Struthio camelus: one gene and its partner. The protein of the gene in region 1 purifies or fractionates together with the protein of each later gene. This does not show direct contact. Links are inferred from orthologs where the notes say so. Each region holds a gene or a part of one and is shown in the gene's direction. Other genes may lie near its edges.

The links. Proteins that work in one complex are often made in the same cells at the same time.
Region 2: the proteins of ZCRB1 (region 1) and LARP7 purify together in Homo sapiens (affinity purification with mass spectrometry; 3 studies listed by BioGRID and IntAct, counting the BioPlex papers as one, with this or other methods). This does not show direct contact. The link is inferred for Struthio camelus from reciprocal best matches to the Homo sapiens genes ZCRB1 and LARP7.

The regions. Positions count from the first base shown.
Region 1 is NC_090942.1:34,031,233-34,039,318, reverse strand, and holds the start of ZCRB1 (zinc finger CCHC-type and RNA-binding motif-containing protein 1), read left to right. Parts: upstream 1-5,047; 5' UTR 5,048-5,190; exon of another isoform or gene 5,191-5,572; intron 5,573-8,086.
Region 2 is NC_090945.1:23,239,618-23,247,144, reverse strand, and holds the start of LARP7 (la-related protein 7), read left to right. Parts: upstream 1-4,508; 5' UTR 4,509-4,707; intron 4,708-4,802; exon of another isoform or gene 4,803-4,957; intron 4,958-7,527. Other genes in the region: 5'-3' DNA helicase ZGRF1, read right to left, coding at 1-1,627, 1,993-2,178, 2,441-2,497, 2,613-2,693, 2,806-2,826. UniProt on the Homo sapiens protein: RNA-binding protein that specifically binds distinct small nuclear RNA (snRNAs) and regulates their processing and function.

The DNA.
Region 1 (8,086 bases):
CAGTTTTTAGACCAACAGCAAAGATTAGAAAATGGATTAAGATTCTGGCTGGTGCTTTCCAAATTTTTGCACATTTTAACAAATACAGTAGCGCCCAGACACTGCTGCCTGGAACACTTACTGAAATTGGGAAGTTAACTCAACATAATTTTCAAAAAAGAACATATTTCAGAGAAATGCCATTAAAGCTGAATGCAAGCTTTCACATCATGCTGCTCTGTCAGTTAAGTCACCTCCAACATCCCAGTACATACTACTGGCAGCAGGCACCGACATTCACGCACATGCCCTACTGAATTATTAGGCAGCACAAGTGATAAAAACACTCCCACTTTTATGACTGCTGAGGGACCACAGTGAAACCAGCAAGAATCACCACCAGATTTTGACCAAAAAAAAAAAAAAACCACACAAGTTCGAGGGGAAAAAAAGAAAAAAAGGGTAGAGACAAACCACCATAAAAGCCAACAGACTGAAGGAAAAAAAACCCCACAGATTTACACAGAATTACATCAAACAAGAAGTATGGGGACAGAAGCAAAATCTCAGTAGGGAGATTCTGCAGTTAGAAAAATAAAATAGAGAAAAATTAATCAGATAGATTCCACCACCAAAAACATTGCCCAAAACACTACTAAGGAAAAATAGGTGACAAATCTTATACAGAGGACTAAGCATACAAATTTTAACTGGGATCAATGAGATAAAGTAAGGATGTTTTTGAAAATACCAGAGGAAAAAAAAGTTTAAAGGGAGGAAAATGTGTTTTTCAGTATCTTGAACGCATTTGATCTGTTACTATTAGAAAATTTCCATTTCTTAAACGACGCGGCCTATTCAGAACACAGCTTTAACAACACATTGCCAACCACAAAAAGTCTAAAATCTTAAGATCAGAATGAGAAAATTCCATTAGCAAGTACTCAAGAGATCAGACTTCAAGTTTACTACACTGTAACCAGATTTATCTGTTCTCTCAGGACAAAGTTGTCCTAAAAATAGATTTTATTATTTTTGTTTTGTCTCCTACCCAACACACTGTAGCTGATATTTTTTTCTATTAGCATATACAGAAGAAGTACTACGAAATTTCTTTAATATTGGGACATACAATCATCTGCCCTATTAATTTAAACAGCCTCTTCCTCATTTTTGGTCAGAGATGACTATTTTCCATAAAGCACGTTCTTTATTCTCTCAAATAATGATACTTCAGCATGCACAGACACCACTCCATTAACGCAGCACAAGCTGCCCCACCGCAGCCAGCTGCCAAGAAGAGCTTTGCTCTGATTCCCCCAGCACTGGGTCTTGCTCTATGCTAGTACAAAAGATGTAATACAAAAAGGTTTTCCTCATCATGGGGATTACAAGAGTCACTAAAACTTTAGATTTTTGGCACATCTTCATTTCTTTGTCAATCAATGATTAATTTTTCATTCTTCCTTTCTAAAGGACACTACATTAAGGGTAAAAAAGAAAAAAAGCCCTCCAGTATTTTCTATATAATTCTTGTCTGTTTCCACTTACTTGAACATCACTTTTCACCATATCTTGAAATATCTACTGCTCCAGGATCTCTAATTTTGAAGACTGTGCTATCAGCCTTTTGCAGGCCCTACAGTTTTGAAACACAAAACATGCAGCTTTCCAACTCAGACAGCTATATCTTGCCATACGTGAACAAAGCATAAAACCAAAGCTGCGCTGTAAATCCAGAGGCAGGCACGGCAACGGTTCTGATGCTACTCAGATATATCTCATTTTATACTGTTAGTGTGACAAACAACTGAAACTGAAAAATCTGGGCCAGTTTAACTCTCTCTGCTGGGAAGTTCTAGAAAGAAACCTCAGGCACTCTTAAATGAGTAAAATTAAAAAAGACGCTTAGAGAATTGCAGACCAACAGAAATATCACAGCCAGTTCTGCAACAGCTGGCAATTGGCACTTTGAGAATAGAAAGAGAAAAAGATGCAGCTTTTTCTTCCAACAGTTAGACCGATTCCAACAATTAGTATTTGACAGCGCTTCAAACATATCCTGGCACCACCTGGTAGAGAGCAGGCAGGACAGATAAAACAGGTTGGGAACAAAGTACTCTCCCTCCACATGCTTGGGAAAGGCTGAAAACACTCAATAAACATATTCTATCCTGGTAACACAATAAAGCAGGAACATAACAACAGAGAGAAAAAGTCCACCAGAGCAGTAAATAAAATTCTCTACTATGAGGAAGGCAGAGAGAAAACACCGGGATACAGAGAGAATCCATCTGTTCCTAATAAATATTAGGCCATAAGATTTTCAAAAGCAATCAGAAGCATGACTACAGCAAGCTTAGGCATATTCAACTTAGATGAGATACCAAAACAAGGTGAAATAAGAGGCGCTCTGCATTTCCCTGTCCTTCCTTCCTAACTATTATGATTAGAAAATATAAAGCTCCAGTATTTTTGTTATCTAAACTACCATTCAACTTTTCTCTGAATCTCTTTAGTTCAAGTCATTTGCTGTTGCATAGAGTTTCATACTCTTGCTATAGGTTAAAATAAATGAGGAAATACTTACCTTACTTCAGTTTTCAACACCTTTCAGCTTTACTGAATACCCATTTGTACTAAGACAAGAACAGACAATATTTGAACTACTGCTATCATGCCTCTCTTTTCATCCCCTTTTTGATCTGAATGATCTGTCATTTCAGTCTCTCTTCACACAAGAGGATCTTCTCCTATGGCTCTAGTCAGTCTGTGAGCCTCCTTAATTTTGCAGTACATACTTTTTGCAAGGTAGGGCTTAAGTAGCGCTTAAAGAAGAATCCCGGGGGCGGGGGGGAAGGGCACTGGAAACAGGGCCAGGATCAATTATCGTATACAACTACAACCTAAAAGATTCGTAATGACATGTACCACTGATTTACAAGGGGAGAAAAATCCATGTTATTTTCCTCAGCTGCTCCTTGTTCATCGTTTGTTCTTTTGGCTACACAGAAAAGCATTCACTGACACCACAATCCAGAGGTGAAGGTCCTTTTCCAGATGAGATGCATTTAACTTGAAAGCCTGTAAAACATTTGTCTAGATCCATGCTTCCCTTTAATATGCATTAATGCACATTTATTGACATGGAGCCTCACTTGCCATTGTATCAACTATTTTCCAACCCCTTACACTTCTGATACTCCTTCCAATCTTTTTGACTTAAAATTAGGAAAAAATCAATTTAGCAAAGTACGGCTCACCAAAGTCAAATTAATTCCCAATTCAGAAGGAAAAGAGCCAAAGTGTATAAGTTGAAAAGAAAATATTAACAAGAGTATTCTGATAAAGACTTAAAATCCCACCGGTTTACGTTTCTAGTCACATCATTTCATTCTATCACTGGGAGCACAAGAAATGAAGGCAAGGGTTTAGGGATATATTTATATAAAGACTGATGTATCAGCAATTTTCTTTATGTGAACACCCGTGGTTACCAACATCCTGTCCTTCATCAGTGTCAATGCCACAAAAAAAATGTTCTACCAAGCTGTGACAGGGCTGCTGTGCTAAGAACATCGATGCAAACAACTGTGTGGATCACTGCTTCCACAGTGCCATTTCACCTTACAGCACAAACATTCTGACAACAAAATATCACCATACTGCTGCTGTAACAGGTCAAGACCTCCGTGCTTTAAGCATTTCCACTTGAGAGTACCAACAAACCCTGAATATTTCATCCAAGCCAAATCAGTAGCTCAGCCTCCGCTAATCACCTGTACTGATTCTGTGGATTTCCACACATTTGTGTATCTTACAGTACCTCTGAAGTCTCAGACACCTCAAATAAAGAATAATTTTAAAACAATCCATCCAAATTCTAAACCAGAGTAAAGAGCCTACTTAAAAAGCATGAGAGAGAAGTGAGAACTGTGAAGAGCAGACTTAAAACGCTGGGATACCAACAAAGAGTTTAAGTACATAACAGAACAACCCATTGTTAAGTAAAATAAGTTCAAAATAACTCTCAAAACTATGCAGAATTATGACATCCTTCCTTTCAGGATAAAAAGTCAAAGTAAACTGAAAAATGAATTGTTCTGTTGTGCATAGGTTTAAAAAGAGTGATTAAGAAGAAAAAAAGCAAAAACCAAAACCTACGTTTATACAGTTGTCATCCAAAATTCATACACGAATCCTGAAATAACGGCCTTCTGCCAAGGAGAGGCTATCCCTCTGCTTTCTCCTATCCCAGTACTTCCCCTCACACCAACCTCTAAGAAGCTACAGAGAACTACATGGATTCCAGTCAAATTGATACTGGCTTTCTGCAGAAGTTATAGGAGGAACGTGCACCTTCTGCGGCTCGCAGGTGCCGCTGTCTCGCCAGACCGACCTCAGAACTGCATTTTCAAATGCACTTACATGCTCAAGTAAGCAAACGAGCCCAGAGCTGGAACCACAAGAGAACTTAAAAACAGTGAATACCCAACTGCTTCTAACGTCAAGCAGAGGTCAAGCACTCCGGTCGCTGGCTCACGAAAACTTTTGGTGCTCTGACACCCCCACCGCCTCGCAAACAGAGCGACGGTATAAACGACCGCAACCCGAACGCGGCATAAGAAGCCTCCCGAGAGGAAAAATTTAAAAAAGAAAAAAAGAGCTTTCAGCTTCAGGCTAAAGGCGAAACAGATGAGAACTCGCACAACATCGGATTCACTCCGACACCCTGAAAACCGACAGCGCCCGAGGCGCTGCCAGCACCAAGACGCGCAGGCCGCCGCCGGCCCCCGAGCCCGGCCCGGCCCGCGGCGGCGCCCGCTGCGCACGGCCGCCAGCGCGGGCACGGGGGCGCCCCCCAGCGCGGGGGGGGGGCTCTCCGCGGGGCGGGGGGGGGGATCCCGGGGCGCGCTCACCGTGCGTGTCCGCCCGCGGTGCGGCGGCGGCGGCGGCGGCCGCCCCTCTCCCGCCAGCGGCGCGGCGAACCCCTCACTAGCACCGCGCCTCCCTAGCGCCACCTCCGGCGCTCGCTCCTGCGTCACCGGAAGCACCCGCCTCCTTCCCCTCATTCCCATCGCGTACTGGTCGGGGGACGTGTTTATCCTGTTACGTCACGGAAGCGCGCCGCTGCCGCTGCCGGAGCGGAGGCGGGGAAGGGGCGCGACGGCGCCATGAGCGCTCGGGCGGCCTGAGCGCCCGCCGTGCCGGGTAGGGGCGTCGGGCGGGGGTCCCGGGGCGGGGGAGCTCGGCACCGCCCGCCGTCGCTTCGCTCGCGGCCCACGCTGTGCGTGCGAGGAGCCCGTTGCGTCGGCGGGGCCCCGCCGCGGCCGGAGGGACAAGGCCGGGGCGGGGGGCAGCTGCCCTCTGAGCGAGTTGCTGGTGCAGCTTTGTGACGAAGCGTTTGTGCTTGGCTGGGGCTTTTATCTTCTCCTTAAAGGCAGCAGGTGCGGGGGGCAGGTGTGCGGGTTCGCGCTGCGCCCTCACAGAGGTTCGGCGGGGTGGGAGCAGCGGTGGCGCTGCGGGGGGCGGTGGCTGCACGGAGGAGCTTCGGCGCGGGGGAAGGAGCAGTTTACCATCGTGCAGCGGTTAGGTAAGGCTAAATAAGCTGTTGATAGGGTCCATACCGGTGTCGAAGACCCCCCTTTTTTTAGCATGATTTACAGCTTAATGCTTCTGTGCGGTATATGGAAGTTTTCAAATAAGCTATAGGTTTCTGATCCTAGTATTGGCTTGCAGCTGGCTAAGCTGTGATGTGGAAGTACTTTGTCTCAGTTAAGGGTTTTAGGACGAGTTGGTGTTACTAAGTGAGCTGACTGGATCTGCCGTTTGTAGCTGAAATTCGAGATTAGACTAAATGTGACAGAACCACACAGCTCTTCAGCACTATACATCTCCAGTATGCTGGGATTCTGGTTAAACTGTAAAGCTATATAGTCCTTGTTGGTGGCCTGGCTGCTATGTCTCATTGTCCCGAAGTTTTTTGTAGTTAAGTACAGTATAAGAGTATTGCTCATTCGGAGTACAGATCCTGATAGTGTCTGTTCCTGGCTTGGGCAGGTAGAAAGACCTTACACTCTTTCTGCTGATATTGTCAGCTTTATAGACCTAATTCTGATCCTATTTAATGTCTTCCTCTTAAGATTTAAGTAACTATGTAGAGATAAAACTACGTATCAGACTTTGTTCTGATAACTTATTACTTGTCTCTTGTGTAGAAAAGAAGGGTAACAAATGATTGAGTGCCCTAGCCTGGGACCAAGGAGAACATGGATTCAGTTTCTTCCTTTACTGCAGACGTTTGATAATGAGCTTGAGCCAAGTTGCTATAACGATTATGTTTGTTTATTTGGATTTAAACTTTGTCGATGGTCCTAAATAAGAAATCAAATATGGAGTTTTAAGCGTGAAAATAAATAAATGAATGAATAGAAACCTCAAGTGATTGTCTTGAGTAAGCATGTGTTGAGTAAATTGTCCACAATGTATTTGTGTTTCAGTTCATTAAGTCACTAACTTAACTTGTTTCTCTTCACTTAAAAAAAAAAAAGTTTGTGCTTAAGTTGAAACGTTGATGTTAAGGCATTTTTATGTCTTGCTATGTTAAGGCATAAAAAGTTTGGCAAATTCAGAGTCCACCTGATGCCCAGTATATCTTTCAGGAGTCTTAATCATCACCAGGAGATGCATCTTGTCAGAATAATGGCTTTGTTTGGTTTCAGTTGTTGGAGAAGACAGAAAGATTAAATTCAAGAAATCATAGTGATGAGAGAGGACCCTATCCCAAAAGTTATTATGTGAAAATGATAAATGAGGAAGGATTAATACTGCAGCTTGGCTGATCCTTTAATAGGAGTTGTACTTTGCCCCATGAAGATATTGTACTGGCTTCCAACTGATGTTTTAAAGTTAAGTGTCCAAGTGGTACCTTGAAGATGAGGGAATCCACATAAAAGCATTCAGTATAAAGCAAAATGTTTCAGCTTTCTTGGGGAGCTCTGGGATATAGAAGCCAGGTTTTACGTGACTCAGGTGAGTCTCCTGCAGCAAGTAGAAAGCTCAGGGTTTTTAATATTTTTTTTTTTCCTTTGATCGGTCTGTGAAGTGAAACCCTTCAGAGCAGAGAGACTGGTGTTCAAGAAGAATGTGATGAAAATATTAAACTTGGATAGATTTTTGCTGTTATAAAGTTCCTGAAGAAAAAGGCAGTGGAGCCTTGTAACAGAAGAGTGTGTCTTCTAGACAGTCAGCTCAAAGTGGGGATTGGAATTTTTTTTTTTTTTAATATTTTTGCAACACTGGAAGAAATTGGACCAATAAATGTGAAGCTGGTATGGCAAAGTTAGCATCTACTAATGGCAGAGGGAGGGGAAGTCATTCATAGGACTTTGGTGCTTCATACCCTATCGGCTATAGTGGCCTCTTGATGGTTTAAACCATCAACAGCGGATTAATTGTGACAGAGTCAGAATTAAGAGGTATGCTGTTTTGTTAAAGTTTTTGAGGATGGGAGGAGTTGTACCAGTAGCTGGATCTAAAAATCCACTGATAGCACCATACCCAGAAGAGATAACCAGGAGTCAGCACTTTAACATGCCCGAGTTTTTGAGAGATTGCTATTAGTAAACTGTTAGGCCTAAATGTTCTGTGAAAGACTTAGTAAGGACATCCATGTTTTTATGTAGACTGAATGGCCCAAATGTTGCAATTCTACAAACCTGTCAGTGTACCTGCTGGCTTAAATAAGTATTTATAAGGCATCTCAGTGACCCCTTAGTATTTGCAACAGAAAGTCCTCTTGCAGGTTCAGGGAAGTACTGTTTCCTGGTAAATTTGAAACTTTGTCATCTTAACATGAGAATGGCAGTGGTCTTACAGCTACTTTGCTTCTTGTTTTATTAAAATTGCGGCTGTCCACTGAGTCAGACATTAAAAGTAAGATGACAGAAATCCTAGCATAATAATCCTAAAGGACAGAAGTTGCAAAGAATATTTGGGCGGGTAAAGTAGCGACAGTATTTCACTTGGATTCATCTTGGGGACTAGAAGCAAAGCTCAGCCTTGCCTGTCTGGAGGCCGTGATCCAGGATGGAACTTCTTTAAATGT
Region 2 (7,527 bases), on another chromosome or scaffold:
CTTCAATATTTAATTGACTTTCATTAATCTGTTTTATTTTGTTTATATCATCCAAAAGTTCCATTTCAATTCTGGCGGGGCTTACAAAGTCTTCCGCAGTTCTCCCAATATCGCCAATGCCGCTGTCACAAAGCGGCAACGGTACACCTCCTGGACAGTGATTTCCATCATTCCCTCTGTCAAACGTTAAACCTCTGACTTCTTCCTTTTTACTGTGTGGTGTTACTTCACAGCAAGAACGAAGTCTCAGCTCAACAGTTTGTGCTGCGTCTTTTCCCTTTAAGCAAACTGGACCTTGTGAAAGCATGTCTCCTTCACCAAGCTCTTTCACATCTCTTTCACACAGCTCTCTATTGTCTGTGTCATTAAAATCAAAAGCCTCTAATAAATTGAAATTCACCTCCATCACCTCTTCTTCTGGACCACTGTCTCTGCCATGTGTACTTAATTCCTCTTTCACAACTACATGACCAGTCAATGCTACGTCCGCAGAGAGCTCCAAGTCACTGGACACTGTTTCTGAATTTCGTCTCAGCTGGAGTTCATTTTGTGACTTTGAAGATGAATCCTCTTTAAGACCATTAGTCACTGAACGCTCTCTGCATGTGGAGAGATTTGTTTCAAGGACGATGGACTCAGCTGGACTTGCTGAATAAGAAATATCACTTAAGGATGGGACACATTGACTGTTGCTCATTTTACTTATGCTAGATTCAGATAGGAAGCAACTATTTGGATGGTCACTAGCAGCACATTTGTTAATCGATAATGGTTTAGGTACCCCATCACTTCTAGAGAATGAGGGTTCTCGACATCTTTCACAATCCCAAATGCATTGCCTTTTGCTGTCTGTTAAATTCATACAGACACACATTTTTTCAGGGTGCAAAGTCTTTGTATTGCAGGGGTCTTGTAAATCTTGACTTAAGATATTTGCCTTTCTGTCACGTCTTTGTCCCGCAACTTCTTTATCACAAGCTTGTTCAGCTGAATTTAGAAGCATTTCAGCATTCCATTCCCTTTCATCACTTCCAGTTTCCTTTGTAGAATGTTGGTGCTGAATATTTTGAGTAAAACCTTTGCCGGGGTTGCCTGAAAAGCCAGGTGGGGTTGTACTCTTCTGGTTATAGAAACTATCTATATTTTCTGAGGTCTGAAACTTAGAATGGCATTCCGTGACTTCAGAAATTGTTTGCTCTGTGCATAGGTGGGCTGGTTTAGACTTCAAAAGAGCAATTATCTGTGCTGTGCTCCTGATGTTCTGCGACACCGCCACACGACTGGTTGCCTTGGTGTGCTCACTAATTAGAGGATATTCTGGCTTCACAATGGACTGATCAGAGTTACTCTTCTCTGTCTCTTTATACGTCTCAAGAAATGGAGCTGAAACCAGTGAGGTGAAGGACACATGTTCTTTATCATTGTTTGTATACACATTTTCATGAAAGCTGGTGGATACATTTGTGTCTGCATCCTTCTTGCAAACAGTAGAAAATAAGGGAGAGGTGATATAAAACTTAGATGGCAAGGAACTCTGACACTGCTTAGATAAAGGCAATAATGTTGCTTTTTCTTCATCTTCCTTTGCTGATATTTTCTTTTCAACTTGACGTGGCCCTTGGAAACCCTAAGAGAAAAGTTTAAAATTAATTCTACTCAGAAATCAACCTCACATTTTGTAATCTAAAAGATGAAAACAGGACATGCTTCATAAACCATATTCTGACCAAATATCACAATGATTCCATACACGTACAGAAATAATCTCAAACCCTTGTGACTTTCACTGTACCCCTAGCAACAGCAATTCTGCTAAACCCAAGAAAGATTTAATAAACTACGAAAAAAGAGCTTCCAGTAACATATTCTGATTTACAGTTCCAAAAAAAAGCAGGAAGACATTATCTGTATATTCATCATTCATTTAAAAATGTGCCCTTGGTGTTTTAAAATGCATGTTAATGTCAGACAACCTTTGAAACAAAGACATACTGTAAACTTCCTTTTCAACCCAACAGGCAGGTGTCTTGGAGGCAGACCACCAGGCTTTACGCCATTTCTATTCACTGCTGGAGTTTCTGCTTTCCTTGGCTGATCTTCAGAAGATTTTTCATTCAGTTTTACTGCTTCAACTGTGATCAAATAGCGTTCACTTTCTAAATTATCTCCAGCATTCACCTAGGAAAGATAAGGCAGCAGTGGGTACACAATAGTGCTGCGTAAGAAACACAAACAATTCCCTCTAAATGTTGTGATACTTGCACATAAGAGTCAAAAACGTAATATTTTTCACTCATAAGAAATAAGAAACTATCAGCCATATCGCTAGAGAGAAAAAGTACTACCTTAATTACCAAACAAACAAGGGTTTGGAAGGCTTCCTGCAACACAAACCACAATCATAAGCATACAAATAAAAAAAATCCAAAACAAAATATACCTGAGATTTTATAAACAAACTCTCCAAACATTGTCCTTTATCATCAAACAAGATTGCCTACAATGAAAAGAAATCGTTATTTTAAATAATGAATTTTATTTCACAGATCTACTACATGGCACTGATAGTCAAACAGCAGCAGATGATATCAAATTGTATTAAATTTGTTCACCTTATTTCCTCCAGTTCTAATCCTCAGAATTCCATCTTGCCATGTTTTTGATTTTTTCATTTTTTGGTGAGTGTATAGTACCTGATTTAAATGTTGAAATAGTGATAAGTAAGAAAATGTTTAAATAATACAGCAGCTACATCGATATTGACTTTTTTACTCACTGGCCTACAGTGTAAAAAAAAAGACTTACAGTAAACTCTTGAGAAGCCATTGTTTTGGCACAACGTTCGTCCAACAGCTTATTCTGCAAATATTCATACCTTCATACAGCCTGAGAGACAGGAAAATTTTCAGAATTCAGCATAGTTGTAAGGGAAATGTACTGAAAAAAACAGATGCCAGTTCACTTATTTTTTCTCAAGAGTAGAAAGCTAGATGCAAAAAAAAAAAAAAAGTAAAAAAACTCCACACACACCTTGGCTCTCCACCTCAAGGCATGTGTGATGTGGGAATTCTAAAGACACACCTTGAAAATAATTTAACAGAAAGTCTGTTGGTTAAAAAAAAATTAATAATTTATATACACCAACGTCCATTTTAAATTAATTTAAATGAATGTCTAGCAACTCTGAAAACTCCATTGATCACATAGCACTTTGAAATTACAAATTATCCTAATTGTGTTCACTTGCAGCAAGAAAATATGGAAATTATTAACAGACTAACTTTGTCAAGAGTTTATTGACTTGACTTGGTCACGCATGCTTAACTCACATTCAAGATAACTGATTTTCAAAATCAGCTGCCCGTGAAGTCAAGCCTCTTTACATATTTAAAGCTAGACCAAAATAACTTTTAAAGTAGCTTCCGATGGTGAAAATGGGAACAAAACTTTATAAAAGCAACTTGTCTTTAGAAGCTGGGGCTTACTGTACATTTTGGTTGCTAATATTTGATCAGTACTGTGATTTACACCAGCGCTTAAAGAGCAGCACTTAAGACCTTATTTAGTTTAATCAATTAATGGCATTGCAATGAAAACGCATCACAAGAAATAACATAACATTTCCAGTTATTCTCACACTGCAGCTCAGTGAGAAATACTTTAATATAAAGTAGCTACACACAGGCACATTCATGCTTCTTCTCATGGCGCTGTTTCTTACAGCCGTCACGTTCTTGGCAGCCCCCGGATCAGCACTGTGGATAGTGACACACTTTTCAGAAGCAAACACAAGAAAAGATGTTTAGCAACGTACGAAACCTAGGGAAGAAAGGGAGACGTTCTCTAGGGACACAGAATACCTCCTCTAGCTATTAAAAACAATGCGAATACTTACTATGATTTAGCACAGCAAGCAGCAAAAGCGGGAGTGAATACGAACGCTGCCAGCATTAAGTTTATACAGATTTGCTAAAGGCTCGCTCTTAACACGTCGTACAGGTTAAGCCCCGTGCTAACGGTCAGGGCAGCTGTACGCATTTGCCCTCAGTACGCGGGTGCTCCACTAAAGCCTGCCTCCTCACGGACCTCCCTGCTCCAGGGCAACGCCATCCCCGCGCCGGGGAGGCCCCCGCCCCGCCGCCAAAGCTTGCGCCAGCCGTTAGCGACCCCGCGGCCGTTAGCGACCCCCGCCGCCGCCGCCAACGGCCGAGCCGCTCCCTGCGGGCGCGCGGCGGCGGCCACGCCACGCTACGTCACCTGACGTCACAGCCCCCTTGCGGGAGCGGGGGGTCGCGCGAGCCTCGCAGCCCCCCGCCCACCTGTCCCCGGCGCTCGCTCCCTCCGCGCGTTCGAAAGCTTCCCGCCACTGCCGGCGTGACGTCACTACACGCCGACAGCCAGCGAGACAGGCCCCCCTCCCCTCCCCTCCCCCGCCCGCGAGGAGCGAATCACGCGCCCGCAGCGAGGCGAGGCGTCGCCGCCGCTGCCGCCGCCCTCCCCCCGCTGCCGCACTGCGCATGCGTGCGCGGCGCCCCGGGGCTTTTCTCTGCCAGGGGGCCGCGCGTCGCGCGGGGGCTGACGGCCGGTGAGGGCTGAGGGAGGGGGCGGGGCTGCGGCGAGAGGCGGGCGCGGACGGCGCGGCGCGGCCCCGGTGTCCCCCTGCGAAGTCGGCCTCTTCGGGTCCCCACCGGCGGGTGACGGCGACAGGTCAGTGGCGCGGCGGCCGGTGGCGGCGACCGTCGGGGGCCGCTCTCGCTGCGGCGGCGCAGGCAGGGGGCGCTGCCGCCCCTCCCTGCGCCGCCGCCTTCGTGCGCATGCGCGGGCGCTCCTGGGGCCGCAGGCCGTTAGGGGGCGGCTCGTGCCGGGCGGGCCGTTGGGTCTCTGCGGCGGAGGCGGCCGGCGGGGGGCGCCATCTTGTCGCGTCCGTGCCGGGGTGCGGCGTATGCGTCTCCCTGAGGTACCGTCCCAGAATCGCAGAATGGTTGAGGTTGGAAGGGACCTCTGGAGATCATCTAGTCCAATCCCCCTGCTCAAGCAGGGACCTCTAGAGCATATTGCCCAGGATCACATCCAGGCGGGTTTTGGATATCTCCAGCGAAGGAGACTCCACAACCTCTCTGGGCAACCTGATCCAGTGGTCTGTCACGCCTGGGCTAACCTCTGCCTTTGCTTCCTGCAGACGCAGCGGGTCGGTGAGCAATCTGAGTAGCAGGGCTGAAACCTGCAGTGGTCAATACCTAAATAGTTGGCAAACATATAGTGGTTGGCCTCTTCAGGGACTGTCATTTTGCCAGTTGCTTCAGTGGCAGAGATTGCAATGGGGCTAGGAAAACTTGTACATCGTGCCTCTCCTCTTTGAAGGGGAGAGAAGAGGAAGTTCACCCTATAGTTGTGTAGTGCCTCTGAGCTGGTCTGTTTGCAGCCACTAAAAGGGCGGCAGAATGTCTTGCTTTTGTAACCTCTCTATGCTGTACCTGAGGGCTCATCCCTGCAGCTTCCCTTCGTCATCTGTGCTGCTTATTAAGTCCTTTAATGAGTTGACCTAACCCACTTACCCAGCAGAGAAGTAAGACTACAAAATAGTAACTTCTCAGATCAGAGAGCTGAACTGCCTCCCCAGAGGATGATACAGACTCTGAGGGAGGACTGTGTAGTGAGTAAGACAGGAACCAGGCTGTCCTTTTAGTGTTAGTGTGAATTGTTGGTTCATACAGCTGAATCAGTCTAATTGTATTCCTTAATTCTGCACCTGAAGCTAGGCTTATTGCACTTATGACCCAGAATGGCCTTTGCTAGCCATTGCAATGAAGAATGGGAAAATGAGACTCTGGAACAGGAGTTGTGACAGTAGATGAGTTTGGTGGTTGTCCACTTACTTCAGCTGTGAAAAAAGGAGATGATGTGACTGACTTTGTTTGCAGAGTTATTTGGGATCCACTGATTAAATGTCTTGCTAGAGGTGCCTGTTTTCTTGTTATTGCAGTTGCCTTGTGCTGTGGGCCTGCATTTTATTCAAAACCTCCCTTTCAGGCTCTAGTGATGACAGAGAAACGGTGACCACGGCAGGCCTGGCACAGTAAGGTCTGCCCATGTCTGGAGACAGCCGTAACAGCCATCACTGTCCTGTGGAAGCTGAACCTTTTCTGTTTGTGAGCACACTAGTCCTAGGATCCATACTCAGCATTTTATGACATCTTTTGTATGTCTTAAATGTCAGTTTAAAATTACCTACTAGTTTCGTGGTTCAAATCGGAAGAAAGCAGAAGGCTCTCTGTTGTTAGGTTATGTAGCAAAGCGTGCTAGTCTTCATGTAACTTTTGTCCTTTCTCAGGTCACTTTCTGCCTAATTAAGTTATTAGGTAGGGTATGAATTCAAACTAGTGCAGCTCTTCCTGTTTATCTATTAGAATAAGAATATCCAACATAGATGACAAAATGCATCTTTGAAAGTAGTTTAAATTATGCTGAATATCTACTTTTAGTTTGGCATATGTATCTAAAAGAGGAAACACTATATGGAAACATTTTCATAGCCTAAAAAGTATTTTGAATGATTCTTGCCACTCTTGTTTCTTGATACTTAAAATCGTAAAAGCAAACAAGCGTATGTATATTGATACTTAAAACAAGGGAACTGGATATTTTACAATTGGGACTATATTTCTTGCAGACTCTGGATGACAGTTGCATTTGATTATGCTTTTCTAGTGTCCTTGTAACAGTAGAAGTTGGGGGTTTGAAACTTGTCTCTATACAGAATAGCACCAATTTGGTTACCATTTGTCTTCTATAAAGTGTTTAGACAAAGCACTATAGATTTGTGTGAACCTGCATTATTTTTATTTACATGTCCTTTGTTTTTCTGGATTTCCCCCTTTCCTCACCTACCCTGCCAGCCTGCCTAATTGCCCTCCTTTTCCCACTTTCAGTCTTGCGCATAGGGAATATGTGATTTTATTTTATATGAGAAAGACTAAATGAGAGTAGTTGTTCTAATAGGCAGAAATCTTGACCCTGCTTGTGCTTTCTTCTGATTTTTATTGTTAAACAAAACAGTGTTTGCAACTGCAAGGGTGGCAAATTAGCGAAAATGCAGGCATGTTGTATAGCTTTGGGCTGCAGCTTTCATTGCTGAATTGAGATTTGCACCAGTAATTGCGAAGAAAAGGAATGCTAACAAAAAAAGTCGAACTCAAAGCATTTCCTTATTTGTAAACAATATTTTCTTATATTGTGAATTAAACTCAATGATCTCTCACATACGATTATTTCACTACTAAATGTAAAATTGTACACAAATTGTAAGATGGATTCGTAGCTGACGTTTGCTCTGATGCGTTTCTAAGTGCCTCCAAAATCTCATTCCGAAAGATTCATTCCTGAAACAGTAGCAGAAAGGGAGTGCCATAAAAAGAGCAGAATATAGCTTGCAACTTTTTTTGTGTTTCCTTTAAGCTCGAATGAGAACTTGTCTCCTGGGAAAGAAGTCCCAAGGCTGAGTGACTCAAAATGCATGAAGTACTTTAG